7 linked regions of the Daphnia pulex genome follow. The protein of the gene in region 1 purifies or fractionates together with the protein of each later gene. This does not show direct contact. Links are inferred from orthologs where the notes say so. Each region holds a gene or a part of one and is shown on either strand. Other genes may lie near its edges. The genes, in order: RNA-binding protein cabeza-like, 116 kDa U5 small nuclear ribonucleoprotein component-like, splicing factor 3A subunit 3-like, zinc finger CCCH domain-containing protein 18-like, splicing factor 3B subunit 3-like, U5 small nuclear ribonucleoprotein 200 kDa helicase-like and small nuclear ribonucleoprotein Sm D1-like.

Region 1 (3,967 bases):
AAAAACAAAACATAAAGTTGGATTAAGTCTCAAAGGTGTCCATGCCTTATATGTTTTCGGCACTCGAGGGTTTAATTAACTGATGATAAGTCATTTTTATGTACATACAGTCGTTAAATGCGTCCCCACGTATGGGTAAGAATAAAGTGGCTAGACTGTCAATGATGACAAGTTTGTATCTTTTCATTTCTGGAGTCCACAGCAGTTCCAACAGTTGATAGACATCATGTATGTGGCAGAATGTAATCCTTTCTAAACTCTTCACATAATCACCATCCTAAAGAAAGAAACCTCTGTCATTTGCCAAACTCAACAAAATAACCACAATTTGTGCTGCAAACTTTGTCTAAATTTTGCATGATATCTAGGATTCGCTTAGGATTTGCATCACCAGTAGTGATGTAACAGACTTCATACTGTAACTTTAGAGCAGTATTTGCTGTCAAGTGTAAGGCTAATTGAGTCTTTCCAGAACCAGAATCTCCATAAACTTCTACCAGTCTCCCACTTGGAATTCCTCCATGGAACATTCGATCAACACTATCTTATAGAACAAAATTTGGGGGAATTATTATGTATAGACAATTGCATACAATTATTTAGAAAACTTCTTACATCTCAATTCCACTATGAATAACAACTGTTCTCTTCAACATCATGTCATACAGTTTGTCTCCTCTCATGGGTTTGCTGTTGTTGGAAGCTAAGATTTTATCTTTGATTTTGATAATTTCACTGACATTTTGAACAATCAATTTAGCCATTTTGTCATTGTTGTACTGCACAAAATCAAGAGTAGTTAAAATTTTATGGGATTTCAGTAATTCTAGTTTTTCTTTTGTCAGTAAGGGACTGACACTTTCCGATAAAAGATTCATGAAATAAAAAAGAAAGCAAAACAAACAAAACGATCAAAAACAAATTTAAGTCTGCTCAAGTTTGAAAAATGGAGAATGTCAAAGGAGTTGCCAATAGTTTCAATTAACACTTTAGCTTTAACTGAAAAGCTGCTAAAAAGTCATTGAATTAGCGCAGATAAAGACCAGATTATTGCATATTTAATGTTTGAACTTAATTCAGGAATATTTCAAGCATATTATAAACAAGTAAACTAAAATAAAAATAATTTTTTTTTAATATTTGAATCTTTACTATTTCCACGATTAGGCAGCTCTGTAGCGCCCATTACCCAAGCTTAACCGGAACAGGGAGAGTCGGCATTTTCTATAGTCATCTCGTTCTGACGTTATTGTAACAAAACCATGGGAGACAATCGTAAGTTTCATTTTTTAATTGTTAAGTTGACATCTAAATTGATTCGACAATAAATTTAGCGAAATGATGATGTTATTGGCAGTCCGAAAACTGTTTGTTTAGAGTTACACGTACGTCAATTTATAACCCTGTCTTTACCATGTTGTGGCCCAAGCTTGTCTGGGAATCAATATCCCATCTATAAAAAGGACTCATAGTAATCTTATTTCATATTTACAGAATATGGATATTCTGGAGGAGGTGGTGGTGGTGGTGCCTATGGTGGCTACAGCAGTTACGATCAGGCTGCACCTGCCTATGGAGGTCCTCCTTCTGGTGCCCCTGTAAGCGGTGGATGGGGAAACCAAGGTCAAAGCGCAGCACCATACTCTGGGTATTCTGGCGGTGATGGCCCAGTTGGCGGCTACAGCACTCAACAAGGTGGTGCTGGTGGTGCACCATCCACTGCATATCCGTCAGGTTTGTTAACTTCTAACATTTCGTCATTTCTAACATTTTGATCAACACATACAATTTTACTACAGGAAGCAGCAGTGCTGGTTATAGTGCCTATGGCGAACAGACAGCTTATGGAGGCGGTGGTGGTGGTGGATCAAGTTATGACAATGCAGGATCATATGGTGGATCAGCAGCTTATGGCGGTAATCATACTTTGTCCTAGCCTATTTTATTTAGCAAATTTAACTTTATGTTATCATATCAGGTGGTGGTGGCGGCGGAGGTGGTTACGGCGGCGATAGAGGTGATCGAAGTGGAGGAGGGGGAGGATTCAGGTGAGTTTTGTTATTCAAATAGCTGTTAAGATAGTGTAGAAAAATTAAGTGTACAGTTTGATTAAAGGTTACAACCAGTAAAAGGGAAATTTCAAATTGCGTTCAAGAATACGAAAGTTTGGGTCCAATGGTATCTTTAAAACAATGTTTTGGTATTACGTAAAAACTTAGTATGCTCAAAGTCATTCGGGTTTAACAAACGGGTACTCACGGTTTTCACTTCGGTGGAGCAAAAAACAGTGTTGTGATTCAAGTAAAAAACATGAATATCTTAATGTGGTCGTTTCGGATTGATGGTAAAGAAATTTATCCATTTTTAAATACGCGGAGTTTGGTATGTGACCATCACATGTAACAGTTTACAACGGTTATACTGTGCCAAGTGCACCCAACATTGGTTATTTAAAAGAAAGTAGTAATTTTTTTCATATTGCATAATCTGAACATGGTGTTTTGGTAATTTGTTATTGTTTGATTTGTTTTACTTCATGTTTTTTTTTTAATTATTCTTATTTGTAGTAAATTTCGAATTTTTTGAATAGTATTATTTGCATAAGTTATATCATATTGTGTTCCATAATAATTTGAAAGCAAGATGGCAAATGCATCTTAGCCAATTTGGTGTCAAAGACAGGGTATAGCAAAATGTATCTTTCTGGCTATTGCAGTCATAACGCTGGAAGCAGAGACGGGTTTCCCAAAGGTAATTCAAAGGTTCATCTAACGATGCCTTTCTTACTGTGTCTACTTCTGGTACGGTTTGTCACAATCTTGCCGTTGTGGTGGTGAAAAATCTTCGACATCCAAATGGCATTCCTGTTGGTGCAAGTATCAAGCAAAATACTCTATCTCCATCTTTATTCTTATCAAATCTCCTTGTGCATATTTACGAATCTACGGTACAGAATTTCTGTACTCTTTGATAAAAGAGTTTCAGACTTTCTGCGTGTACAGTGATATACCTGGAGAATGTTACCTTTGTATGCTACGGTATTTCAGTCAATTGTCAGCCACTTTCCATGAATTTAAACCCCGAAAGAGGCCGAACGTGTGGTTCTAGTCTTTAAGTGGTGTGTTGGGTAAAAAAACTTATTTCCACCAGAAATTGGTGGTTTTTTCTTTAAAAAATTCCAAATGGTTGTGTGTAAAGAATCCCCAACAAAAATGGTGTGTGAGTGGTTTAAAGAAATGAGTCCAGAAAACCTATGGGTGTATCTGTAACGTGAACAGGTCAATTGAAACTGGTCCTGTAAAGGGTAAGAACAAAGGAAGTGAAAAAGTGGGGAGAGAAATCGGCTAAAGGTTAAATTTACTCATGGAAAGTTTGGTGAACGGTCCGACTATAGTATTTAGCACATCCTAACCCAACTGTGGGACTTGCTTCCTGCCGCCGTTTATTTCAATTGTGAGTACCTGCATTTAATCTTTAATGTATGTTTCGTTGACAAGGTGGAGCTGCACCAGGAGCCGTTGCTGATGACCGTATTGTTATGGACGACAGCGTGTTTGTTTCGGGTCTTCCTGAAAGTGTGACCGAGACCGAGATCGAAACCTTTTTTGGTTCGATTGGTGTTATAAAAGTATTTATTAAAACATCCAAATCAACATTTTTCATTTTGATAATTTTTATTCTTTTGTCTCGATAGATTGACAAGAAAACTGGCAAACCTAAAATCTGGTTGTTCAAAGATCGTGACACTGGCGCTCCCAAAGGAGAAGCAACAATCACCTACGACGATCCTAGCGCCGCTAATGCTGCAATCCAGTGGTTCCATGGTTCGTAACTTGTATTATTATGATGTGTTTTCTTTCTTAGCCATTTTTTAAATTTGTATTACAGGCCAGCCATTTAATAACGGACCAGTGCTGAAAGTCTCTATGGCTACGAGGAAAAACAACTTCCCTGGAGGCTTCCGTGG
Region 2 (3,949 bases), on another chromosome or scaffold:
GACAGACTACACCGCCGTGGCAATGCACACCGGACAGTATAGTGACCCCCCCGCAGACACAAAAAAGATGATGGATAGAAATTTAAAAAGAGAAAAACAAAACAAACCAAAAAAAAAAAAAATCTCAGTCAGAGTCTGTCGGGCTATTGATTGGACACCCCCACGGAAAATTCACGCACGAGGAATAAGGAGGAGGAAGTCGATTGCTGCTGTTGGCCAAGTCTAAATGTGTGCAGCGACATTCAACCGGGTACATTCTATCCGCCTACACAATGGATGACATTGCTGCAAACAACAAAAACAGAACAAGCAACTCGAAGCATCGCCGATAACGGTGATTATATCCCGAATAAAAAAAAAAAAAAGAACCATCAACCGAGAACCCATGGACAGAAGGAGAACTCTAGTTGGGCTGGGCTGGGCTGGTCTACATCACCGAATGGCCGGCATTGATTTTGTCGATCTGCCCATATCATCCCAAGTATTTTTTGGGTTTTTTTTTTGTGATTTCCTTTTGGCAACAACAAACCAACAAGCGAATATATAAATCGGGGTCGCTCGTCTGTAGACTCGTCTGCAGATAAAGACGTCTAATATATCTTTCCATACGAGTCGGCAGCAATAAATCATATAAGGGCACTTGCCCATCCAGGGGGCTTCCATCGCCCGGCAAAACTGAAATTCTGCACTGTGTGCGTAGACATCAGACGACTGCTGAGATTTATTCCGTTATTCAATTCAAAAACATGACGGCATTTTACTCCTTATTTCGCCCGCTTTGATTGATATTATCGCCCGTGTTCGACTGACTTTGTTTCTCCTACAAAATGTTTTTTTCCGTCGTGGACCCGACCTGATAGCGACTGACACGTCATCTATATAAATTCACAACTAGATTTCAGTTTCCAGTGCACAAGCAAAAAAACAGCGCCAGAAACATTTCCTTATTCGGGTAGGGAAAACCCCGCCCTCAACGGGATTCCCATTTGCATTTTATTACGCTGTGAATTTTTTTTTTCTCTTTTATTTTATTTTTATTTATTTATTTTTATTTTTATTTATTTTATTCATTTTATTTTATTTTCATTTTTTTTGCCACTCATAATCCACCTGCTAGCTGGTAGATGGCGCTGTTCTTAAATTCAGATTTCATTGGCACCCGCTAGATGTCGCTAGTGTCGCTCGTTTTGAGCGCGTGCAAATCTGTACGCATAGTAAACGCATTTTCTTGAAAGGCCCGGCTTTTCTGAAATTCCCTTTTGAAACAGCTTTATAACTGTGAGTGTTGGGTTAAGCCGAATACCGATCGACAACATCCAAAGTATCTGCCCAATTTACAGACAGCAAACGACTCAGTTGACTGTCAAGAATGGACGCCGATCTCTACGACGAATTCGGCAATTACATTGGACCCGAACTCGAGTCAGATGAAGACGAAAATGAGGAAGGAGACGAGGCTGATCACGATGACGAAGCCGAAGACTATGGTGACAATGATTCCGAAGAGGCCATGGATCAAACGGTGGTTGATGGCGACGCACAGATGGCCATTGTTTTGCATGAAGACAAAAAATACTATCCATCAGCGTTGGAGGTTTACGGACCTGGTGTGGAGACACTGGTGCAGGAAGAAGATGCTCAGCCCTTGACTGAACCCATCATCGCACCTGTCAAACGAAGGAAGTTTCAGGTACCACAAATTGTTTCGCTGCCATATTTCATTTTGTTGATTAACCTGTTTCCACCCATTTTCATTAGGTTGCTGAGCAAGAACTCCCTGAAACCACGTATAACATGGAGTTTTTGGCTGATCTCATGGACTCTGCAGAACTTATTCGTTCAGTGGCCCTTGTTGGTCATTTGCACCATGGCAAGACTTCCTTCATGGATTGTCTGCTCATGCAAACACACCCAGATCTCCAGACGGGAAAACCTGGCAGTGGAGAGGAGAAGCCTGTCAGATACACAGACACACTCTTTACTGAACAAGAGAGAGGTGTTTCCATCAAAGCGACGCCCATTACCGTGGTCATGCCCGACCTGAACGAAAAATCCTTCCTCCTCAACATGTTCGACACACCTGGTAAATTACAGTTTTCCAACTTGCAAAATGGGGGGGAAAAATGTATTTAATCGATTTTGATGTTTCTTAAAGGTCACGTCAACTTCTCAGATGAAGTCACGGCTGCCCTGAGACTTTGCGATGGTATCGTCCTCTTTGTCGACGCTGTCGAGGGTGTCATGCTCAACACGGAACGAATCTTGAAGCACGCCGTCCAGGTAATTAAAAAAAAAAAAAAACTTCAACTTGGTTATTCCAAGAATTTCTTTTTAACCCTGTCCTTTCATAGGAGAAAATGGCCATCACAGTTTGCATCAACAAAATCGATCGACTCATTTTGGAGCTCAAGCTGCCACCTCAGGACGCATATTACAAGTTGCGCTACATCATTGAAGAGATCAACGGTCTTTTGGGCCTGTACAGCGACGAAGAGAATCCAAAATTCGTGTCGCCCTTGTTGGGCAACGTCTGCTTTGCTTCTGCCCAGTTCTCCGTTTGCTTCACCCTTAAATCCTTCGCCAAACTTTACAGTGACACGTACGCACACGTCCACAATGGCAATGACGGTCTTAAATGAAACTTCATTTTCTTTCATTTTAGATACGGATCCGATATCAACGACAACGAGTTAGCACGTCGTCTGTGGGGTGACATTTACTTCAACAGCAAGACGAGAAAGTTCACCAAAAAGCCGCCACATAGCTCGGCTCAGCGAAGTTTCATCGAGTTCATTTTAGAGCCGTTGTACAAAATCTTTGCCCAGGCATGTACCAAGGACAACTTTGCAGTTAATTTGAACAGTTGATTCATTTCCAATATTTTTTGCTTGTTTAGGTTGTGGGAGATTTGGATTCGAGTCTACCGCAGTTGCTGGACGAACTTGGCATTCGCCTGACTGTCGAGGAACAGCGGTTAAACACTCGCCCCTTGTTGAGACTGGTCTGCAGTCGCTACCTGGGCACTTTCAGCGGTATGTCAATTAAAATGTATGTTGAATTGAAGCAACGGTCTTTAAATGTCAATGTTTGACTGGTGTGTGTAGGTTTCGTGGAAATGTGCGTCAAACACGTCCCGTCGCCCGTAACGGCTGCTCGCACCAAAGTGGAACACATTTACACAGGTCCCCTGGAGTCCATCCTGGGCGAAGACATGGTCAACTGTGATCCCAACGGCCAACTGGTTGTCCATACTACCAAACAGTATCCCACAGAGGACTGCACTGGATTCTATGTCCTGGGTCGTGTCCTGAGTGGGACCCTTCACGCTCACCAGAACGTCCGACTCCTGGGTGAAAACTATTCGCTCAATGACGAAGAAGATTCACGTGTGTTGACGATCGGTCGACTTTGGATATACGAGGCCCGTTACAAGATCGAAGTCAATAGAGTAACGGCAGGCAGTTGGGTCTTGATCGAAGGGATCGATGCCTCAGTGGTCAAGACGTCGACCATCGTCCAGGTTCACGTCGACGAGGACTTGTACATTTGCCGACCCTTGAAATTCAACACGCAATCCATCATCAAAATTGCCGTTGAGCCGGTGAATCCCAGCGAATTGCCCAAGATGTTGGACGGTCTGCGTAAGGTTAACAAATCTTACCCGTTGCTCTCGACGCGAGTGGAGGAGTCGGGCGAGCACGTTATTCTTGGAACAGGCGAACTTTACCTGGACTGTGTCATGCACGATCTCAGGAAAATGTACTCGGAAATCGACATTAAAGGTTTGCCATTCATTTCTTCCCAACTGTTAATTCTTCTAATTTAACTAATTCACTTTGGTTTTTCTTGTAGTTGCTGATCCTGTGGTGTCTTTTTGCGAAACGGTCGTGGAAACGTCCTCACTGAAATGTTTTGCCGAAACTCCAAACAAAAAGAATAAAATCACAAT
Region 3 (4,030 bases), on another chromosome or scaffold:
CTCGCGCGAACAATACGCACGGAGAACCTGGAAAGAAAGAAAACAACAGGAAGAAATTAATGTCAGACAGACAGACTGGGGTTGTTGCTGGTGGTGTAGAAGAGATTCAATAGCATATGGTCAACAAAATCTAAAGTACACAGATGGTCAGCATGTGGGCACATAGCTAGAGTGATGGGATTCTATATGTATATGTGAGTTGTCGAAAGGCCAGAGTGACTTCCCAACACATCCTGTCCATTTGGCAGGGTGCCGTCACAGTTTAGCGAATGCATCAGGGTTGATCGAAAACCAAGACATTCCTTTTGAAATGTCAAGAGGAGAAAAAATAAATTACGGTTGAATGGAAAGAATACAAGGAAGGAATGGTGATGTCATGGCTGGCCCGTACATTATTTCCAAACCCAGAGAGATGAGCATTCATTCAGACACCTGTATTTCAACATGAGCCTTGAGTGTCATTGATAGGGAAAGGATGAAAATAAGGGAGGGGGGAATGCTTAGGGCAAACACTCGAGTCAAGAGGCCGAATCGTTTTTCGATTTTTCACGATTCCCAATGGCGAACACACCAAACACAACTCAAGAAACACACACACACACCACGCCTATTGTTTGAACGACGGCCACCTGATAAACAAACATCAAGTTCTTTTCGGTTTGGATGTGTGGATATACACTAAAAAATGTTAATCAGATTAAATGTAAAAGAATAAAACAGAAATAAGTACTGTTGCGTATACGTGAAAACCACTCTCTCGGGTGACAGCCACTTATAACGCACTGAATCGGCGGCGGCTCTCGACCGTTGTTGGCCCTCAGTATACCTCCCCTCTTCGCTCTTCTGCAATATGGCTACCAATAGCTTAGCTCAGCTTTTTTTTCTTTTTTCTTTTTATTTCGATTTTCAAAGACTTCGCTCCATCCCTCTGGCGACACTAGGAAACATTACCGTCCTGAGTCCTGACAGCAAAAAAATGCTCACATTTTCTTGGAATGCAATGAATGAAATTGGTTTTTAATGATTAGGAATAAATTAAAATTTTTAATTAAGCTAGAAAATTTATTAAGCTGTGTATATTGAGAAGGTAAATGAATCAAAATTTAATTTTAAGGGGTTTACACTTTACAGTCTTGTAAACATGAAATGAGTAACAAATCATCAAATTTAAATTTAGACAATATATTCTTTTATTTTAACGAATTGTACCATTTTAATAATTAAAAACATTATAATTAAAAAAGTGAAAATAGTTTTTGCAAAAAATCGATAGAATACTTTAGTTCTTACAACGGCCACCAGTTTGTTTTCCAAGCCCAAGCATTGTGATTTTTGCTCGTTTATTGCCGGCTTGTTTAAATTTTTTTATTTTATCATACAATTCAATTCATTAAAACCAATGGAGACTTTGCTAGAGCAGCAGAGGAGATATCATGAAGAAAAAGAGCGTATCATCGACTCCATGGTCAAGGAAACAATCTTCAAAAAGACCACTCAAAGGGAGATAATCAACTCGGAACACCGTCAGAAAATTTTGCTTGACGTATGTAAACTTTGGCTCATACAATTGAACAAACAACTCTTAATGTCGTATTTTGATAACTGTAGAGGTATATGGAGAGTACAAGAGTTTTGAAAGAGATCTATGAAGACAAGGACGGACAGCGCAAAGAGGAGGTGGCACTGCTCTCTGGACCAAATGAATTTGTGGAATTTTACAACAGACTAAAACAGATCAAGGAATTTTACAAAAAACATCCAAATGAGGTATAAAACACATTCATTTTCTTTAAGTGTCATTCAATAGCAGTTGGTTTTGTTTCACAGATTGCTGTACCAATGTCCATGGAATTTGATGAGTTTGCCAAACAGAGAGAGAGTGGAGCTGACGAAACAAATAGTAGGTTATATCTGACAGAAAGCACAGTCATATAAAGCTAATGTAATTTGATTTTCAGATTTGGTTGACTTTACCGATGAGGAGGGCTATGGCAAATATTTGGATCTTCATGAAAGCTATGTGAAATACACAAATTTAAAAGGAATTCAGGTCAGTTTATAGATTGAAACAAGAAACAAATCGAAAAAAATTAACACAGTTATATTTCTTACAGAAAATTGACTACATTAGCTACCTTAATATGTTTGACCGTCTCTTTGATATTCCCCGGGAGAAGAAGAACGCTGAATACAGAAACTATCTACAAGCATTGGTGGATTATTTAGTCGATTATGTTGCTCGAGTAAAACCAGTCATGGACCTTGACAACTTGTTTCATGAAATCGAACAAGATTTCGAAAAGGACTTTGTAGCGGGTACATTTCCTGGATGGCCGGTAAGTCTATTTACGACTGTTTCTATTTTCTGTCCAACCTAACTAACGCTGGCAAATTTATAGAAAGAAACAACCGGAAGTGCTTTGGCAAACGCAGGTGCGGCGTTGGATATTTCAGCCTTTTCATCTTGTGAGGAATTGGCATCTCTAGGACTGGATCGTTTGAAATCAGCATTGATAGCTTTGGGTCTCAAGTGCGGTGGAACACTCGAAGACCGTGCCAAAAGACTCTTCAGTACAAAAGGTCTGTCGGTAGATGAAATTGACAAATCTCTCTTCGCCAAAGGCCAGGGTAAAAATCGAGGTGCTACCGAACAAGATAAGGAAGCCGAAAAACAAAAGAAGATTGCCCTTCTGGAGGCTCAAGTTTATAAGTAATTCCATTTAAATTATTGAATGAAATTGAATGAATAATTAATTGTGAATAATTCATAGACTGATTGAGATCTTGTCTGAACCACGGCATGCTACCAAAGAGAACGTGGAACGTAAACAGGCCCGAACAGATGGGGAACGAGAGGAGGAAGAAGAAGACGTTGTCGAGGTATAACTTAATTACTTTGACATATTTCCTTAAACTTTAAATTCTCAACTGCCATTTTCAGGTCCCCGAGGATGAAGATGAAGACGATGACGTCCCTTACAATCCCAAGAATTTACCACTAGGTTGGGATGGAAAGGTATAAATGAACCAACATTAATAATTGTGTAACTTTGTTCTAATCTTATCGATTCATCTCTTATCCAGCCCATTCCATATTGGCTTTACAAATTGCACGGCTTGAACATCAGCTACAATTGCGAGATTTGCGGCAATTACACGTACAAAGGTCCAAAGGCGTTTCAACGTCATTTTGCCGAATGGCGTCACGCTCACGGCATGCGGTGTCTGGGTATTCCCAACACGGCCCACTTTGCTAACGTAACACGAATCGAAGATGCAATTTCACGTAAGCTTTCAGTTTATTTTTGTTTTTCCTGTCCCCTACCGATTAATAATAAAATTCTAATTGAAACTTCAGTTTGGACAAAATTGAGAAGCCAGAAAACGTCAGAACGTTTCGTCGCCGATCACGAGGAAGAGTACGAGGACTCGATGGGCAACGTCATCCCCAAGAAAACGTACGAAGATTTGCGTCGACAGGGTCTCTTGTAAAGAAACATGACTGGAAAAATAAATCTTATAACTTCGTGCGCGGTTATATTTTTATTCCATCACATTTGCACAGAGGAAGCGCAAGCTCCTTGGTTGTTGTCGAGTGTCACTGTAATATTGGTAATCTTAATCTATGTTTCGATTTATCACTTTGTTGTCAACTTGTATTACTGAATCATCTTCCCATCACAAAACTTTGCTCAGATGGAGTTTTTCGTCATTCGTCTCAATTCCCAGCTCATCGACATGTCGAGAAAAAGAATATGGATTAATGCTTATGTGTCACTGATTTCCGTCGATATCCTCATCGATCAGCTACTTTTAGTATACTTGCATTTTAACACACTTAAAGTATATACCACCTTACTATAGGTATGTAATCTTAATCATATTCGAATTTTAAACAGTCATCTTATAACAAATATTTAAAACCTCTGAGCAATCACGATATTGAAAAGGCACCCCAAGCTTTAATCACTTGCTTATAATTGAATTTGTCTTTAATTGATAACATCTGTATTTGAAATATCGAAATGGC
Region 4 (4,169 bases), about 750 kb from region 1:
ATTCATTTGAGAGATAAGAAGACCTTTTACGATCCAATAAGAATCCCAGTAATAGGATTCTCTGAATCTTCCACCGGGAACAATAAATGGATTCGGAACATATACAATGGAGTATAAATCAGGATTATCACGAACGTCGTCTAGAATTACAACACAGAGCCCATAGTCCAAGCAGTGAAAGAGAGAACACCAGCAAAGAATAGAAATTTAAAATATGATTCTCTTATCTGGCGGAAAGAAAACTGGACTGCAATTTAAGGAAATCAATAAAACCATAATGTTTCTTTTTAGACCATCACCTTTTATCTGTCGCCCGAGAGATTTCCATCCTTCATGAAGACGATTCCCCCAATTGCGGAACTCTGAATTATTAATTTGAGATAGAAATGGAGGATCACTGATCCAGTCCGATGGATCCCAATTCTGGAATTCCAATCCTTCAGCTTCAAAATTGCTGTCAACAAATGCCTGTAATTCTTCTTTGGTTGGCTGGTTTTCAGTGTCGGTCATGAACTGTGAGAAACTAGTTAAGACTATTTCTGGATTAAAACGCAATTTTTTATCCACAAAAGTTTTGGAATCTTTGTATAACTCCGCGTTTTGGACAGCATGCAGCAGGGGTCCATAGCAATAAATTTCGCTAAAATTAAAACGTAATTCTGGTAATTAAGCAATTTCATTGTTAGATTACAGAAATTTTCTTGCCTGGGGCAGGGTGGTGGCAGTTGAAAAGTTGAAGTTGAAAAGGTCCAAGCAATTATTGCTAAAACGGTAATTAATCGAGACATTCAATAATATGAATTTTAAATGTTTTGCTTAAAAAAGAATGTAAAATGTTTGAGAGAGGTTAAGCATGGAGCTAAACATGCAATGGGCCAATGACTAAACGAAAACGAATCAAGTGACTAAACGAAAATTATGTTTCGTAATCAAAAGGCTACGATAGATCAAAAACTTATCAGTCTTGTTTTTGTCAATATTTTCAGGTCAGATAACTCTACGATTGATTGAACATTGGAAGTTTTGAACCCGTCCACCGAAACTTAAAAAATAAATGATAACTCATGTTGACGAAAGCAGAAAACTCTTTCGTTGAGTATTGACTCAACTTAAATGGCTAATGATAAAAGCGCAAATCCGCTATCCGCATGATTTCAAACCTTTCTTTTGTGCGCGCACAATTGTTTCAGCGTTGCCAAAAATAAAAAAATTTAGTACCTTATTATTTTCCAGTTTCAACTCTTTGAGTGAACCAAATCTAAAAAAAATAGTTAAAAAAATTTAAATACTTTCAAATAGTTTGCGTCTGACTATAGAATAGATGATAAATGTATTGAAATGTTCAAAATTTAATTGGCATCATATATTATAAACAGCCGACAAAAAACGGGGCTGTCATGGCGGCTTAGTTGCAAGCCAGGTTGTTTGGATTTTTGGTAGTTTTTCCCAGTTTGTTGGCTAAAGTTAGTAATTGATGGTTACCACTGTTGTTTAACGTATATTAGTAAAAGAATGAGTCAAAGCGGTTTAAGTGCTCCAGCAAGCCCGGATCCTGACTTGTCTGGAACCAGTTCAAGCATAATCGAAGGACAGTTGTATACGAATTCGCGTCCGGAAAGCCGAAGCAGCATTAGCAGCAACTCCATGGTTGATCAGGACCAAGCCGCTGAATCCAGTCGTCTGAGTTCAAACGTAGATGAAATTGATAGAAAATCTGATAGTGGAGAAGTGATTGGGCTTGATGAAAATGCCCAATCAGGTGGCTTGCTGGATGAACATAAACAAGAGTTAATGGCTTCAGATTCAAGCAAAGAAGATGAGGATAGTCTTGAAATGGTATCAGATGATGAAATGGAAGCTAACGAAAACTGCAAAGATTCATCTAGTAAAAAATCTCCTCAAATTTTGGATCCATTGATTAAAGACACTGAATTAGACTTTGAAGAAGATAATCTTGAAGAAGAGCCCAAAAAGCCGATTGAAGACAGAAAGCCTGAAAAAGATGACGAAGATGGAGAATGTGATGGAGAGAAGCCACAGAGAGAAAAGGAAGCAAGTGAAGAAGAACTAGAGGAAGGTGAAGAGTTGGAAGAAGGTGAAGTTAGCAGCGAAGAAGATGTTGGCAAACATGCACGCATGGAACCTAGGCCTGTTTGTAGATTTTACAGTAAAGGCAATTGTACTTGGGGTAATAATTGCAGGTAAGAACTAGTATTTTTCTTTTTTTGAAAGAAAAAGTATTGATATTGTTTTACAGATTTGTTCATCCTGGAGTATTAGACAAGGGAAATTACAATATGTTTGCTCCTGCACGTCCATCTGCCCATAACGGGCCTTCAGCACCCTACGAAAGACCTTTTGATCGACCACCGGTGGTTCCACTCATCCCGCCAGCAGAGTGGGCAAATTCTCAGCCAAGGGTCGCTAATCCTCGACCTCCACGACATCCACAGGTACACGGTTACTTACTTTCAGCTAAGTCAATTTTCGTTATTTGAGAAACTTCATTTCTGAATTGTAGCCGGCCGAGCCACCTCGGACTGATGCAACCGGTGCTGAATCACCTTGGGAAAGAGGACTGAGACAAGCCAAAGAGGTATGAGACAATGCCGTGATTATTTAAGTTTATTGCTATGGGTTCATAATAAACGTTTTCTTTACAGATGCTCAAAAAGTCCAGTCATCGTAAAGAAACTGACATTGACTTCGAAGAAAAAAAACTAAATTTAGGTTTAGGTGAGGAAGAATTGGACAAAGAGAATGACTACTACACTCGACCTGCTAGTCCAGTTTTACATGGAGACGTCCCTCCTCCGTAAGTTAAATCGCACTGCATTAAAATCTGTTTAAGAGTTAAATAGGATCTGTTAATTTTTTTACTCCTCTAGATTTGAAGAGCCAGATACAGAACCATACCATAAATTTTTACCTCCATCAGCTGAAGGGCGATGGCCTCCGTCACGCTACCCGCCTCCTCACCGCCACCCCCCACCTGGTTACCCTTATCCGTACGAAGGCCGGCGACCTTACCCACCAGAATCAGAGTATAGAGAAAGGGAATACTATCATCCGGAAGGATATGAGCGTCCGCACTACTACGGTCCAAAACCAAGTGAACGAGATATCCATCCATCTGCCAGTAAATCCCAACCTCAACTTCCTCCCCCTCACGAAAAAAGATGGTCTGATGAGAGGTCAGTTTTAATTGATGCAATGTGACTGCGTCTGTAGAACCAAAACAAAATCCTTTATTGAACCTTTTAAATTGTTCAATATAGATACGTGGAAGTTGTGCCTCCAGCTCAGCGTGGACGTAGTGATGAATGGTGGGATCCGTGGATGAGATCAAGATCTCCTGGTGGTGCTGGAGGCGGAGGTGCTGCTGGTGGTGGTCCATCTTCAAGTGCAGTCGTTGGCGCCGGAGGAAATTCGGCTGGAGCTAAAGGTTCTAGACGACGTAGCTATTCGTCTGGGTCATCTTTTTCAACATCGTCGTCGACATCGAGCTCAAGTTCGAGTTCATACTCGAGCTCAAGCAGTCGTTCCAGTCGTTCCAGTGCTAGCTCACGTTCCACTTCAAAATCTAAATCAATGAATGTAAAACGACGGCAAGGACGGAAGGCAAAAGTCGGAGACCAGCGGGTTAAAGGGAACCATAAGACCGTCTCTTCACTTCCTGTTGCCAAACATAAAACATCTTCATCCGCTCCCATCCCGTTATCGCCCCCGCACCCCCAATCCTCACGGAAGCCCACAGATAAGCAGCGGAACATCCATGAGAGGTCACCTCAAGTTCGAAATAGGTAAATAAATAGCTTACATTGCTAGGCATATGTCAGTTCAATGTGACGTTTTGCATATTGTCGTGGTACACATAGGGACTGGTCAAGTTCTTCGTCCCGTTCACGTTCCAGATCTCTTTCCAAGATGCGCCCTGCGACTAAGAACAATAGCTCTGCCCCTCCCACGAAAGCCCATGGAGGACGAGCTCGTGCCTCCTCCGGTTCGTCCAGTTCTAGTGAATGGGAGTCATCTCCACATTCAAATGACATCGGACGACCCCGTCGACCATCGAACCGTGGCCGACGAGACTTTGCCGAACGTAAAGAGCTACGAGGTGTAAACCCTCCACCAGCGTCATCTCATCCATCAACTAAAGGAAAAGCTGT
Region 5 (3,954 bases), on another chromosome or scaffold:
TCAAATTCTTCGTTTTTTCTAGTTTCGTTTTTTTTCAAACCTCTAAACTTGTTCTTAATAGGAAACATCAAAAGTCAAGAGTTGATTTCCGACTGCAAGCCGTTCCACATTCCATCACTGGCGACAGAGGACGAGTTAATCGGTAAAGTTCGGGAACTCGATTGTTTCAGTCAATATGAATTGAATGACTCGAAATGAATTCAACGGTACATTATGAATTGAAAAAAAAAGATAAGTGCTTCAACACCCTTATTCGTTATTCCTTACCGCACCGCAAATAAAAATTTTTGAATAAGAAATTTTAAAAGATAGACAAGTTCGGGATGCTGAGTTGCACAACCGCAAAATTAGGATCGTGCGCCAACGAGTTTTTGTAACGTTGTGGGGATAGTAGAAAGCGGGTTTTTTATTATTTAAGCATAGAATTACTTATCTAATCTTAGAAATGTTCAGGATTATCGTTGTTTAGAACATTCTGCTTTTTATAGAGTAATTTTAAATGTATAATTCAGCTTAGTTTACCCATTAAAATTAAAGAAAGTCCAAGCCTGGGATGCTGTTTAGTCTTTTCTTGTGTTTTTTGACAGATCTGCTGACAAGTGACAAGCTCAAACACACAAGAAAAGACTAAACAGCATCCCAGGCTTGGACTTTCTTTAATTTGAATGGGTAAACTAAGCTGAATTATACATTTAAAATTACTCTATAAAAAGCAGAATGTTCTAAACAACGATAATCCTGAACATTTCTAAGATTAGATAAGTAATTCTATGCTTAAATAATAAAAAACCCGCTTTCTACTATCCCCACAACGTTACAAAAACTCGTTGGCGCACGATCCTAATTTTGCGGTTGTGCAACTCAGCATCCCGAACTTGTCTATTCAAAGCGTGGCTGCATGGTGGTTCTAGAGAGAAACTCGCGCGCATAGCAAGGGATCGGAATATGAACACGTCTTTTGAATTACTTTATGAGTAATAAAAACAGCTGTGAATAAATCATTCTTGATTATCACCACTGAAATTTTTTATTAATTTCACAATTTTATTGTATAATGCATTATGAAATCGTTCTATAAATAATAATAATAATTTAAAAAATCTTGTGATAAAGAAAGCGCAAATGCATTGAAAATGCTGTGTTTAGGGATAGACCAAGTAGAGAGTCGATGTCAGATGTTCAAAAATATTGCCTATCACACAATGCACGAGAAGTCGAACCCTAAACTCGAGCGCGACGCCGGAGCCAAGAGAGATTTCACTCAACCTTTGCTGAATTTTCCATCATGGAAAATCTGTAACATCCACAGGTAAATTCAAGTTTGACTACACATTTTAGTTCCAGATAGTTGAAAAGCAGTTATTTTGATGGTTAAATGTGTGTTTTTGGCGATGTTTAAAATATTGAAGCATGTCAATTTGAAAACCTTGCCGGGTGAGATGCCGGGGCTGTAGTTTCTTTCGCGTACTCGTCTAGCTATTAAAGAAAAGAAAACCCCTTACAACTTTACCGCCTTTCTGTGAATTAAGTTTGGTGGCTATACATGAGGGGGACATTAATTTTCAAATGGTGTGTAACATTGTCATTAAACATGTTGGACAAATGTAAGAATTATATCTGATAACATTTTCGCAGGTGATGCTCATCTAGGCAGTTCAAGTTACACATTGGACACGTCAACTTGAAAGAAAATGTATCTTTACAATCTGACTCTGCAGCGTGCCACTGGCATCATTCAGGCAGTCCAGGGCAACTTCAGTGGCACCAAGCAACAGGAGATTGTCATTGCTCGTGGAAAGGTACTCGAAATTGTGAAGCCGGATCCCAACACTGGCAAAGTACACACACTTCTCAGTCAAGAGGTTTTTGGAATCATCAGGTCAATCATTAGTTTCAGGCTTACTGGAGGAAATAAGGGTGAGTTGTGCAAATATAATTTTTAAAACATACATCCTGCTAACTTTCATTAATTCTGTATTTAGATTACCTTGTGGTCGGATCAGACTCTGGGCGAATTGTCATTCTTGAATACAATGCTGCCAAAAATGTGTTTGATAAGGTGCACCAAGAAACGTACGGCAAAAGCGGTTGTCGTCGGATTGTTCCTGGACAGTACATGGCAATTGATCCCAAAGGCAGAGCTGTTATGATCAGTAAGTTTTGATCCGTTTTTAATTTAAATTCTTGCAAGTGATGAGTTACGTTTTTATGTCTTCTTTCCCCATCTGAGAAAGATAATGCTGATATCTAACGTTTTTACTGAGAATTTTTTAAAATCGAAATCTTGTGGCTTGAGAGTGCGCATTGCTTTAACATTTATGTTTTTTTTTTGCATTGCAGGTGCTATTGAGAAGCAAAAACTGGTCTACATTCTGAACAGGGATGCCCAAGCCCATTTAACCATTTCTTCTCCGCTGGAGGCTCACAAGTCAAACACTCTAGTTTACAACATAGTGGGTGTTGACGTGGGATTTGAAAACCCTGTATTTGCTTGTTTGGAGATGGATTATGAAGAGGCCGATGGTGATCCAACAGGCGAGGCGGCACAGAAGACGCAACAAACGCTTACATTCTACGAACTCGATCTGGGTTTAAACCACGTCGTTAGGAAATATAGGTGCGTAACAAATCTTGGTGATTTTGGTTTTGCCTGGTTGGGTTTCAAAACCCCTTAACTTTACTGCTCTCTTGTCACTTAAAGATTGCAGCTATACATAAGGGGGACATTATCTATCATAGTGTGTAACATTGTTGACTTATGTGTGACAATGTAAGAAATATTTTGATGAACATATCTTTACTTTAATAGTGAGCCGTTGGATGAGCACGCCAATTTCCTCATCACTGTTCCTGGAGGAAACGACGGACCTTCCGGAGTTCTGGTTTGCTCCGAGAACTACATCACATATAAGAATTTGGGTGAACAGCATGACATTCGTTGCCCAATCCCCAGAAGAAGGGTACGTTTGATCATTTCATTATGTTATTTGGCGCGCGGTATCTCCAGCCGTGTTCTATACACGTGCTGGTCGACTAGTGCCTAAACTATACTTGGAGATGTTTGCATCGTTGGATTGTAATGCGCATATTGCATGCTGTCCTGGAACGAACCTCCGATAAGTTATTTATTCCATGTATTGAGGACGGTAGTAATAAGTTTTTTCTCTGTAGAATGACTTGGATGATCCGGAAAGGGGCATGATTTTCGTCTGCTCGGCTTCCCATCGCACCAAGGCCATGTTTTTCTTCCTTGTCCAAACGGAGCAGGGCGATATTTTCAAGATCACCATGGATATGGATGAAGAGGTGGTGAGAGAATTGAAAATCAAGTACTTTGATACCGTTCCAGTTTCGTCCAGCATGTGTGTGTTGAAGACAGGCTTTCTATTCGTCGCATCGGAATTTGGAAATCAGTTAGTTTTCTTAAATTTTTTTTTCTATTTGCTGAAATGATGTGTATTGTCATCCGTGTTTCACCTGAGATAACACTTTGATTATAATTTTTGACTCTGATTTCGGTTACAAAATTTGAAGTAGTTTTATGGGTTTTCAAGTGTATTAATTTTCCTTGTGTTATTAGTTATCTTTACCAGATTGCTCATTTGGGGGATGATGACGATGAACCCGAATTCAGCTCTACTATACCATTGGAGGAAGGAGATACTTTCTTCTTTGCTCCGAGACCTTTGAAGAATCTTGTTCTCGTGGACGAGATGGAGTCTTTATCTCCAGTTCTGGCCTGCCATATTGCTGATCTCGGTAGGTTTGATAATTCCTCCTGTTTTGAAAGGTTTTTAACATTTGTTTTCAATTTACAGCCAATGAGGATACACCCCAGTTGTATGCACTTTGTGGTAGAAGTTCTCGTTCGTCTCTTCGTGTTCTCCGTCATGGATTGGAAGTATCGGAGATGGCTGTTTCTGAACTTCCCGGTAACCCCAATGCAGTGTGGAC
Region 6 (4,115 bases), on another chromosome or scaffold:
TCTAGAATGCGCTCAAACAGGCCAAAGTGGTTGTGTCGCCCAAAACGTCTCCTTCACCGGCGCCCCCACTAGCGCCACCATCTACTACCGGAGCTTCGGTCTTTACAGTCAAGAGCAGTCCCGTTCGTCGGCCCCGCGGCGAGGCCAAAAAGTGCCGCAAGGTTTACGGAATGGAACACCGCGAGCAGTGGTGCACTCAATGCAAATGGAAAAAGGCTTGCACTCGCTTCGGCGAGTGAAACAAATGACTATACCACACCCCAATGTGTACGTATATATATACTATTTAATCCTTTCCGAGAAAAAGAAAAACAACCGCTCGGATTTCCGACTGTAGAAATTTAATCCGTTTTCCGCTTGATTTTGACATGGAACAAACGTCTCCCCTCCTTTTTCTTTGTCTGATTGTGTTTTGTTGTTTCATGGCTATTTTTCTTTTTATTGTTGTCGACAGGAAATTTTTTTTTAAATTTTGATGTCTGGTGCTGGATGTATTGCGGAATAGGAGCCAAGTTTTTGTGCGGATGACGGATCTCAAAAGATCTATGACACTTGGCGCGCTGGGCGGTTGATATTGTTTGAAACCATTTTTACTTGCGGGCAACTTTTTGACAAAAGACAAAAAAACGTTTTGACTTTATTTTTTATTTTTTTAATTATTATTGGCTTTCGTATTTGTTATGACAAATTCATGCCGGAGCGTGTTGTTGTGTGTGCATAATTTTCGTTGTGAAGATGCAGTGTTGTTTTGTATCTTGCCACTGACCAGGCTGCCGTAGCTCAGTGACGATTTCTCTGACTGGTGTCGTTATTACCTCTCGTACAACATCATTGAAAAAATATTGTTTTCATCCCTATGTCCCACCTCATATCTGCGTTACTCTCAAAAAAGCTTTGTACAGCGTTAGATGGCTTTTTTCTCTACCAATGTTTCTTTATTTCGTCGATTTAGAGTTATTTTTGCAATAACGCTGCGTGAATTTTAACGTTTATAGATTTACCCTATTTAGACCTGATTTTGTTTTTCCATCTCCTTTGTAGTTCGCATAGTGGGGGGTTTTGTTTCTGTGTTTTTTTCTCATTTCATTCTCAAGACCGATGGACTTTTGAAAAATGTTTGGTTTTTTCTCCTTACAAAAATGGTGTTTTAGTTTCTTAATTGCTTTTTTTCTGTATTTTTTTTATCCCTTTTTTCGCGCGTGTCGACCCAGAGTTTTATGGCGAGATTTTTAAATTTTTCAATATACAAATTTCCTCTCGAATTCTGAATTTTGTTTTATTACAAACTGGCAACGCTGTCAATTGCCTGTTCGAACAGCATACGAAACTTTCGTCAGTGTCTAAAAGCAAGCCGTAAGAAATGGCGGACGCCGCAGCACGTTCGCTCCAGTACGAGTATAAAGCCAATTCTAATTTGGTTTTACAAGCTGACGTTCGTTTAATCGATCGCCGAGCACGAGATGAAGCCACCGGTGAGGTTATGTCCCTTACTGGGAAGTTGGAAGGAACTCGCATGGGTGACAAAGCCCAACGGATGAAACCGGCAAAACGTCAGAAGCGTGATCCCAACAAAACTGATATTGGTGGTAAAAATGGTGGAAAAGGACCTTTGCAAAGCGACAACCTGGATGAAATCTCTGGCATCATCTACAGGCCCAAAACGCAGGACACCAAACAGACTTACGAAGTGCTTCTCAGTTTTATTCAGGAAGCGTTGAGTGATCAACCCAGAGATGTGTTGTGTGGTGCTGCTGATGAAGTCCTCACGGTTCTCAAGAACGACAAGCTCAAGGATAAGGAGAAGAAAAAGGAAACAGAGGCTATGCTTGGCTCCTTGCCAGAAGAAAGATTTGCCCTGCTCGTTAACCTGGGTAAGAAGATCACAGATTGGGGCCAAGACGAGAAAATGGGTACTGGAGAAGAGCAAATGGACGACCAGTATGGCATCAATGTGCAATTTGAAGACACAGACGAAGAAAACGAAGAAGAAAATGTGTATGGAGAGATTGGAGAAGAAGATGACGGTGAGGATGAAGCTGATGAAGCTGAAACAGACCATGCCATTCATGCTGATGCTGTCGCAAGTGGCGTCGATTTGGGCGGTAAAAAAGAGAAGAAATTGCATCCCCTCGATATTGATGCCTATTGGCTTCAGAGGAAGCTGTCAAAGTTTTACAGTGACCCCATGGTGTCTCAAGCCAGAGCCGGTGAAGTCCTCAACATCCTCAAGAATATCCAGGATGAAAGAGAATGTGAAAATCAGCTAGTTGTCTTGCTTGGTTTTGACTGCTTTGACTTCATCAAGCTGCTTAAACAAAACAGACACATGATTCTTTACTGTTCGTTACTGGCATCCGCACAGAGCGAAGCTGAACGTCGAAGCATTCAAGACGAGATGAAGAGCAATCCCCATCTGAACAAGATCCTTCGACAATTAGATACTGTGAGGGACGACACTGGAATCGAACCGATGGAAGTCGATTTTAAAAAGAGTTCACGTCAAGGTACTTCTGCCTCCAAAGAAGTCGGAGGTGGAGGACAGGAAGGGTACAGTGGCATTCCAGGTCTTCGAGAGCTACTGGACTTGGAGGATCTTGCATTCGCTCAGGGCTCTCACTTCATGGCCAACAAAAAGTGTACACTTCCAGAAGGTATAATAATTTAGTTTCTCATCTTTTAATTTCAATCAAAATTTAAACATGGACTTGTATTGCAGGTTCTTTCCGAAAACAGCGTAAAGGCTACGAAGAAGTTCATGTGCCACCATTGAAACCTAGGCCTTTTGATGCTGATGAAATGCTTATTCCTATCGATAAACTTCCAACCTACGCCCAACCAGCTTTCGAAGGATTCAAAACGCTCAACAGAATCCAGTCTAAAATCTATAAAACAGCTCTCGAATCGGATGAGAACATGTTAATTTGCGCCCCAACCGGCGCCGGCAAAACCAACGTGGCTTTGTTGACAATGATGAGAGAATTGGGCAAGTACATCAATCCGGACGGAACAATTCGCGTTGATGAATTCAAAATCATCTACGTTGCACCCATGCGTTCGCTCGTACAAGAGATGGTGGGCAGTTTTGGCAAAAGACTGGCGCCTTTCAACCTGAAAGTTGCCGAATTGACGGGCGACCATCAACTCAGCCGTGAAGAAATTGCACAAACTCAGGTGATTGTCTGCACGCCCGAAAAGTGGGACATTATCACTCGCAAATCAGGAGACCGAACCTACACGCAACTGGTCAAGTTGATGATCTTTGACGAAATTCACTTGTTGCACGACGACCGTGGTCCAGTTTTGGAAGCCTTGGTAGCTCGTACTATCCGCACCGTCGAATCCACTCAAGAAGATTTGCGATTGGTGGGTCTTTCTGCCACGCTTCCCAATTACGAAGATGTGGCCACTTTCTTGCGTGTCCGACCCAAGACGGGTCTATTCTTCTTCGACAACAGCTACCGCCCTGTACCCTTGGAACAGCAGTACGTTGGAATCACGGAGAAGAAAGCTGTTAAGCGTTATCAGATTATGAACGAAATTGTATACGAGAAGGTAATGGAGCACGCCGGCAAGAATCAAATTCTCGTCTTCGTTCATTCGAGGAAAGAAACCGGCAAAACAGCACGTTCCATCCGCGATCTTTGTTTGGAGAAAGACTCTCTGGGAGCCTTTCTACGTGAGGGTTCCGCTTCTACGGAAGTTTTGCGCAATGAAGCCGAACAAGTTAAGAATCAGGAGCTGAAGGACCTACTTCCCTATGGTTTTGCCATCCATCACGCTGGTATGAGCCGTGTGGACCGTGCTTTGGTCGAAGATTTGTTTGCTGATCGTCACATCCAGTTGCTCGTTTCCACAGCTACTTTGGCCTGGGTAAATATAATAACTAATCAGAGCGTTTTAGAAAAGGTCAAATTTTAACGATTTTTTTACCAATATTAGGGTGTCAATTTGCCAGCCCATACTGTCATCATCAAAGGAACGCAAGTCTACAATCCGGAGAAAGGTCGATGGTGCGAACTTGGATCTCTCGATGTCTTGCAAATGTTGGGTCGTGCTGGTCGACCGCAGTACGATACCAAAGGTGAAGGTATCCTCATCACCAACCACAGCGAGTT
Region 7 (2,714 bases), about 2.9 Mb from region 1:
AATAAAAATGTAGGATTACCTTGCTTTTCATTTCCTTTTGATGTGTCTTCAACAAACTCTCTGACCTCTTCTTGGATTTATCATGCATGGCCACAATTTTCTCAAGCTTCTTATTCCTTTTTTGTTCCAAGTATTGTTTCCTCATTTCAGCTTCAAAATCCTCATCTTTTTCTTTGGATGTACTAGGCTGCTAAAATTATATTAATTAAATTATAGAAATTAGCAATGACCAGCTAAGAAAATTTCATTATATGTGTATCTATTGTACTATCTGAACCTTGGAAGTTGGTGTTGAAGTCCATTGATCTCTCCCTACAACCTCAGGTTTGTCAGAACGATTAAAGACACGAGGTCCCAGGCCAAAGTTTTTCCTTTTCAGTTCTGGAAGCTCAATCATCCAATCTTCTCTTTTTGGTTGCTTGTTGGCTTCATCATCATCCACACCAAGCAACTTCCTCTTCATCTTAAGAGCCCGCTGTTCAATGTCAACTGATGAACTATGTTCAGCATCCATACAATCAGCTGGCAGTGGTCCAATAACTTCATCATCTGATGAAGAGTCAACTTCATGATTAACAGAGCATCCTCTGTCATTGGAGATATTTGATTGCACTAACTTGCTGGACACTTTCTGTGATTTTAAATGAGCGGGAAGTGCTGGTCCGTAGAGATCACCTTCATCAGAATCTGAATCATCATTTTCATACGCTGTTTGAAGATGAGGAGGTAATGTTGGTCCGATTCGAGACATTTTGAGAGGGAAAAATTAAAACCACGCGGGAAATTGAGAATGCGTTACCGACAAAGAATTATTTTTAAAAAATCGAAAATAGGTGAAACCGAAACCCAATGTTTAGCTTACTGGAAATGCTGTTATAGTATGCAGGCCTGTCTCATGTGTTTTCTGTTTTGGAGTACGTTTTATTGTCACTCATGTCATGCCACTTGTGTTCTATGCGGTTCTATGATACGCTTCGATAATGCTTCTGGATTTATGAATTTATTTTGATAAATAAATTTAAAATAATAAAAAAAAATTATTATTAGTTAATTTTTGATTAAAATATGCAAAAATAAACCTTGTCTAATAACAAAATTCAAAATATTTGCGTAGATGGCGCTACGTTACAAGTACAAAAATCATAGTCATCGACCGTTATGAAATATGAAATGTCACAGGGCCTTTTTAGTATAAGTTATGCTTCCAACAAGCAGTTTTGGTTTTTGACTAGCGTACCTCGTGCGTTTCACTAAACTAAGGATTAAAACATTCAATAAGTCGTATATGGTGATTTACTTTATTACAGCCATCAAACAACAAGTTTATCAAAAATGAAATTAGTGAGGTAAGTTTCGGAATATGTTCATTGTCAAGTAAATTCGTACAGAAAGTAGCCACAAAAATCGGTTTGGTCTGGGTATTAAGCCGGTTGTTGGATGCGTCTGGGAAACTATGCCGTTTCTATATTTCACAACTTAAATAGTTCACTGCTTTCAATTGAAATAAATACCATTATTTTGTATAATCCTTAGGTTTTTGATGAAACTGAGCCACGAAACAGTCATTATTGAATTAAAAAATGGTACTCAGGTTCATGGAACAATAACAGGTAATTCAATTTTGTTGTCTTTATTCGATTTTTTATTTTACTGCAATCCTTAAATACTTTCTTCGAAAACTTAGTGAAATTGCAAACACATAAGTGACATTTTAGAAGAAAAGTTTTCCGTTTTGTATATTACTAAATTCATTCATTTGATTATGTTTTATAGGAGTTGATGTTGCTATGAACACTCATTTAAAAGCTGTGAAAATGACAGTTAAAAACAGAGACCCTGTTCAGCTTGAAACTTTGAGTATTAGAGGAAACAACATCCGGTACTACATTTTACCTGATTCACTTCCTCTTGAAACCTTACTATTGGATGATTCTCCGAAAGCCAAGGCCAAGAAGAAGGATGCTAGCGGTAGAGGTAAACTTTTTTCCCCTTATCACTGTGTTCCTCTTTTCATTTTCTTTTCTTTTTTTAGCTCGTGGAAGAGGCCGTGGACGCGGAGCTGTCAGAGGAGGACGTGGACGAGGACGTGGACGTGGTGCTACTGGTCCTCGACGCTGAAATTTGTAATTTCCAACGATTTTCCATTTTTTTTTTCGTTCTTTTCAGCAAATGTGGAATCAGTTTTCATTTGCATTACAAATTGTCATTGTCTTATATGTTTTTTGGTCAGTTGAAAAGTCCTTAAAACAAACACTTTTTTCCCCACAGTTGAGTCTGTATGAGAATTATTTATCAATTCCAATTGACTCCCATGTAAGCATAGATAATTTGTAGAGAACCGTCAATTCCTTTTCTTGATTTATAAGCGGACATCGCATAACGTTTCCTTGCTTATTTCAAGAATATTGACTATTCTTGCCATTTTGTCAGAGGAGTCGGGGAAAAAACAAGTGTAAAGAGCGGTGTAATAAGTAATGAAAGTTTGATGGAAATGAAAGTTAAATTACTTTTCTATTAAATTTAGACTAAAACTATTCAATTTTTTGTGACTAAACCATTAAACTTTAATTTAAATTAAGAATGTCGCAAATTTAAGGAAAACTTGACATGTTTAAGAACAGTCGTGGCTACAAGTTTTATTTGCTTTTGTAACTTCAGTTTAAGAGGTATTTGCGTTTAAGAGGCTTTCGGCGATATCTGCTCCTAATTTTCTA

Evidence for each region.
Region 2: the proteins of RNA-binding protein cabeza-like (region 1) and 116 kDa U5 small nuclear ribonucleoprotein component-like purify together in Homo sapiens (affinity purification with mass spectrometry; 3 studies listed by BioGRID and IntAct, with this or other methods). This does not show direct contact. The link is inferred for Daphnia pulex from reciprocal best matches to the Homo sapiens genes FUS and EFTUD2.
Region 3: the proteins of RNA-binding protein cabeza-like (region 1) and splicing factor 3A subunit 3-like purify together in Homo sapiens (affinity purification with mass spectrometry; 3 studies listed by BioGRID and IntAct, with this or other methods). This does not show direct contact. The link is inferred for Daphnia pulex from reciprocal best matches to the Homo sapiens genes FUS and SF3A3.
Region 4: the proteins of RNA-binding protein cabeza-like (region 1) and zinc finger CCCH domain-containing protein 18-like purify together in Homo sapiens (affinity purification with mass spectrometry; 3 studies listed by BioGRID and IntAct, with this or other methods). This does not show direct contact. The link is inferred for Daphnia pulex from reciprocal best matches to the Homo sapiens genes FUS and ZC3H18.
Region 5: the proteins of RNA-binding protein cabeza-like (region 1) and splicing factor 3B subunit 3-like purify together in Homo sapiens (affinity purification with mass spectrometry; 3 studies listed by BioGRID and IntAct, with this or other methods). This does not show direct contact. The link is inferred for Daphnia pulex from reciprocal best matches to the Homo sapiens genes FUS and SF3B3.
Region 6: the proteins of RNA-binding protein cabeza-like (region 1) and U5 small nuclear ribonucleoprotein 200 kDa helicase-like purify together in Homo sapiens (affinity purification with mass spectrometry; 3 studies listed by BioGRID and IntAct, with this or other methods). This does not show direct contact. The link is inferred for Daphnia pulex from reciprocal best matches to the Homo sapiens genes FUS and SNRNP200.
Region 7: the proteins of RNA-binding protein cabeza-like (region 1) and small nuclear ribonucleoprotein Sm D1-like purify together in Homo sapiens (affinity purification with mass spectrometry; 3 studies listed by BioGRID and IntAct, with this or other methods). This does not show direct contact. The link is inferred for Daphnia pulex from reciprocal best matches to the Homo sapiens genes FUS and SNRPD1.

Annotation. Positions count from the first base shown.
Region 1 is NC_060020.1:5,621,666-5,625,632, forward strand, and holds the start of RNA-binding protein cabeza-like, read left to right. Parts: upstream 1-1,167; 5' UTR 1,168-1,262; coding exon 1,263-1,275; intron 1,276-1,494; coding exon 1,495-1,734; intron 1,735-1,799; coding exon 1,800-1,916; intron 1,917-1,978; coding exon 1,979-2,048; intron 2,049-2,716; coding exon 2,717-2,751; intron 2,752-3,497; coding exon 3,498-3,628; intron 3,629-3,694; coding exon 3,695-3,824; intron 3,825-3,888; coding exon 3,889-3,967. Other genes in the region: DNA repair protein RAD51 homolog 4-like, read right to left, coding at 109-277, 342-540, 616-878. UniProt on the Homo sapiens protein: DNA/RNA-binding protein that plays a role in various cellular processes such as transcription regulation, RNA splicing, RNA transport, DNA repair and damage response. Binds to ssRNA containing the consensus sequence 5'-AGGUAA-3'.
Region 2 is NC_060028.1:8,367,832-8,371,780, forward strand, and holds the start of 116 kDa U5 small nuclear ribonucleoprotein component-like, read left to right. Parts: upstream 1-1,149; 5' UTR 1,150-1,369; coding exon 1,370-1,690; intron 1,691-1,758; coding exon 1,759-2,083; intron 2,084-2,155; coding exon 2,156-2,280; intron 2,281-2,351; coding exon 2,352-2,599; intron 2,600-2,662; coding exon 2,663-2,825; intron 2,826-2,896; coding exon 2,897-3,032; intron 3,033-3,104; coding exon 3,105-3,782; intron 3,783-3,852; coding exon 3,853-3,949. UniProt on the Homo sapiens protein: Required for pre-mRNA splicing as component of the spliceosome, including pre-catalytic, catalytic and post-catalytic spliceosomal complexes. Component of the U5 snRNP and the U4/U6-U5 tri-snRNP complex, a building block of the spliceosome.
Region 3 is NC_060028.1:1,228,033-1,232,062, forward strand, and holds splicing factor 3A subunit 3-like, read left to right. Parts: upstream 1-1,286; 5' UTR 1,287-1,399; coding exon 1,400-1,543; intron 1,544-1,608; coding exon 1,609-1,767; intron 1,768-1,827; coding exon 1,828-1,900; intron 1,901-1,958; coding exon 1,959-2,050; intron 2,051-2,114; coding exon 2,115-2,336; intron 2,337-2,399; coding exon 2,400-2,710; intron 2,711-2,771; coding exon 2,772-2,880; intron 2,881-2,941; coding exon 2,942-3,016; intron 3,017-3,084; coding exon 3,085-3,286; intron 3,287-3,358; coding exon 3,359-3,492; 3' UTR 3,493-3,530; downstream 3,531-4,030. Other genes in the region: moesin/ezrin/radixin homolog 1-like, read right to left, coding at 1-27, 603-644. UniProt on the Homo sapiens protein: Component of the 17S U2 SnRNP complex of the spliceosome, a large ribonucleoprotein complex that removes introns from transcribed pre-mRNAs.
Region 4 is NC_060020.1:4,875,959-4,880,127, forward strand, and holds the start of zinc finger CCCH domain-containing protein 18-like, read left to right. Parts: upstream 1-1,369; 5' UTR 1,370-1,512; coding exon 1,513-2,201; intron 2,202-2,257; coding exon 2,258-2,453; intron 2,454-2,521; coding exon 2,522-2,596; intron 2,597-2,663; coding exon 2,664-2,815; intron 2,816-2,888; coding exon 2,889-3,194; intron 3,195-3,278; coding exon 3,279-3,803; intron 3,804-3,878; coding exon 3,879-4,169. Other genes in the region: trehalase-like, read right to left, coding at 1-140, 300-640, 706-788.
Region 5 is NC_060019.1:9,348,735-9,352,688, forward strand, and holds the start of splicing factor 3B subunit 3-like, read left to right. Parts: upstream 1-1,154; 5' UTR 1,155-1,309; intron 1,310-1,635; 5' UTR 1,636-1,691; coding exon 1,692-1,917; intron 1,918-1,982; coding exon 1,983-2,153; intron 2,154-2,340; coding exon 2,341-2,617; intron 2,618-2,809; coding exon 2,810-2,960; intron 2,961-3,171; coding exon 3,172-3,413; intron 3,414-3,580; coding exon 3,581-3,759; intron 3,760-3,818; coding exon 3,819-3,954. UniProt on the Homo sapiens protein: Component of the 17S U2 SnRNP complex of the spliceosome, a large ribonucleoprotein complex that removes introns from transcribed pre-mRNAs.
Region 6 is NC_060022.1:2,646,595-2,650,709, reverse strand, and holds the start of U5 small nuclear ribonucleoprotein 200 kDa helicase-like, read left to right. Parts: upstream 1-1,315; 5' UTR 1,316-1,360; coding exon 1,361-2,651; intron 2,652-2,658; exon of another isoform or gene 2,659-2,664; intron 2,665-2,716; coding exon 2,717-3,870; intron 3,871-3,939; coding exon 3,940-4,115. Other genes in the region: zinc finger protein 704-like, read left to right, coding at 6-239. UniProt on the Homo sapiens protein: Catalyzes the ATP-dependent unwinding of U4/U6 RNA duplices, an essential step in the assembly of a catalytically active spliceosome. Plays a role in pre-mRNA splicing as a core component of precatalytic, catalytic and postcatalytic spliceosomal complexes.
Region 7 is NC_060020.1:8,496,612-8,499,325, reverse strand, and holds small nuclear ribonucleoprotein Sm D1-like, read left to right. Parts: upstream 1-1,183; 5' UTR 1,184-1,332; coding exon 1,333-1,346; intron 1,347-1,533; coding exon 1,534-1,610; intron 1,611-1,773; coding exon 1,774-1,974; intron 1,975-2,032; coding exon 2,033-2,118; 3' UTR 2,119-2,214; downstream 2,215-2,714. Other genes in the region: GPALPP motifs-containing protein 1-like, read right to left, coding at 20-190, 278-751. UniProt on the Homo sapiens protein: Plays a role in pre-mRNA splicing as a core component of the spliceosomal U1, U2, U4 and U5 small nuclear ribonucleoproteins (snRNPs), the building blocks of the spliceosome.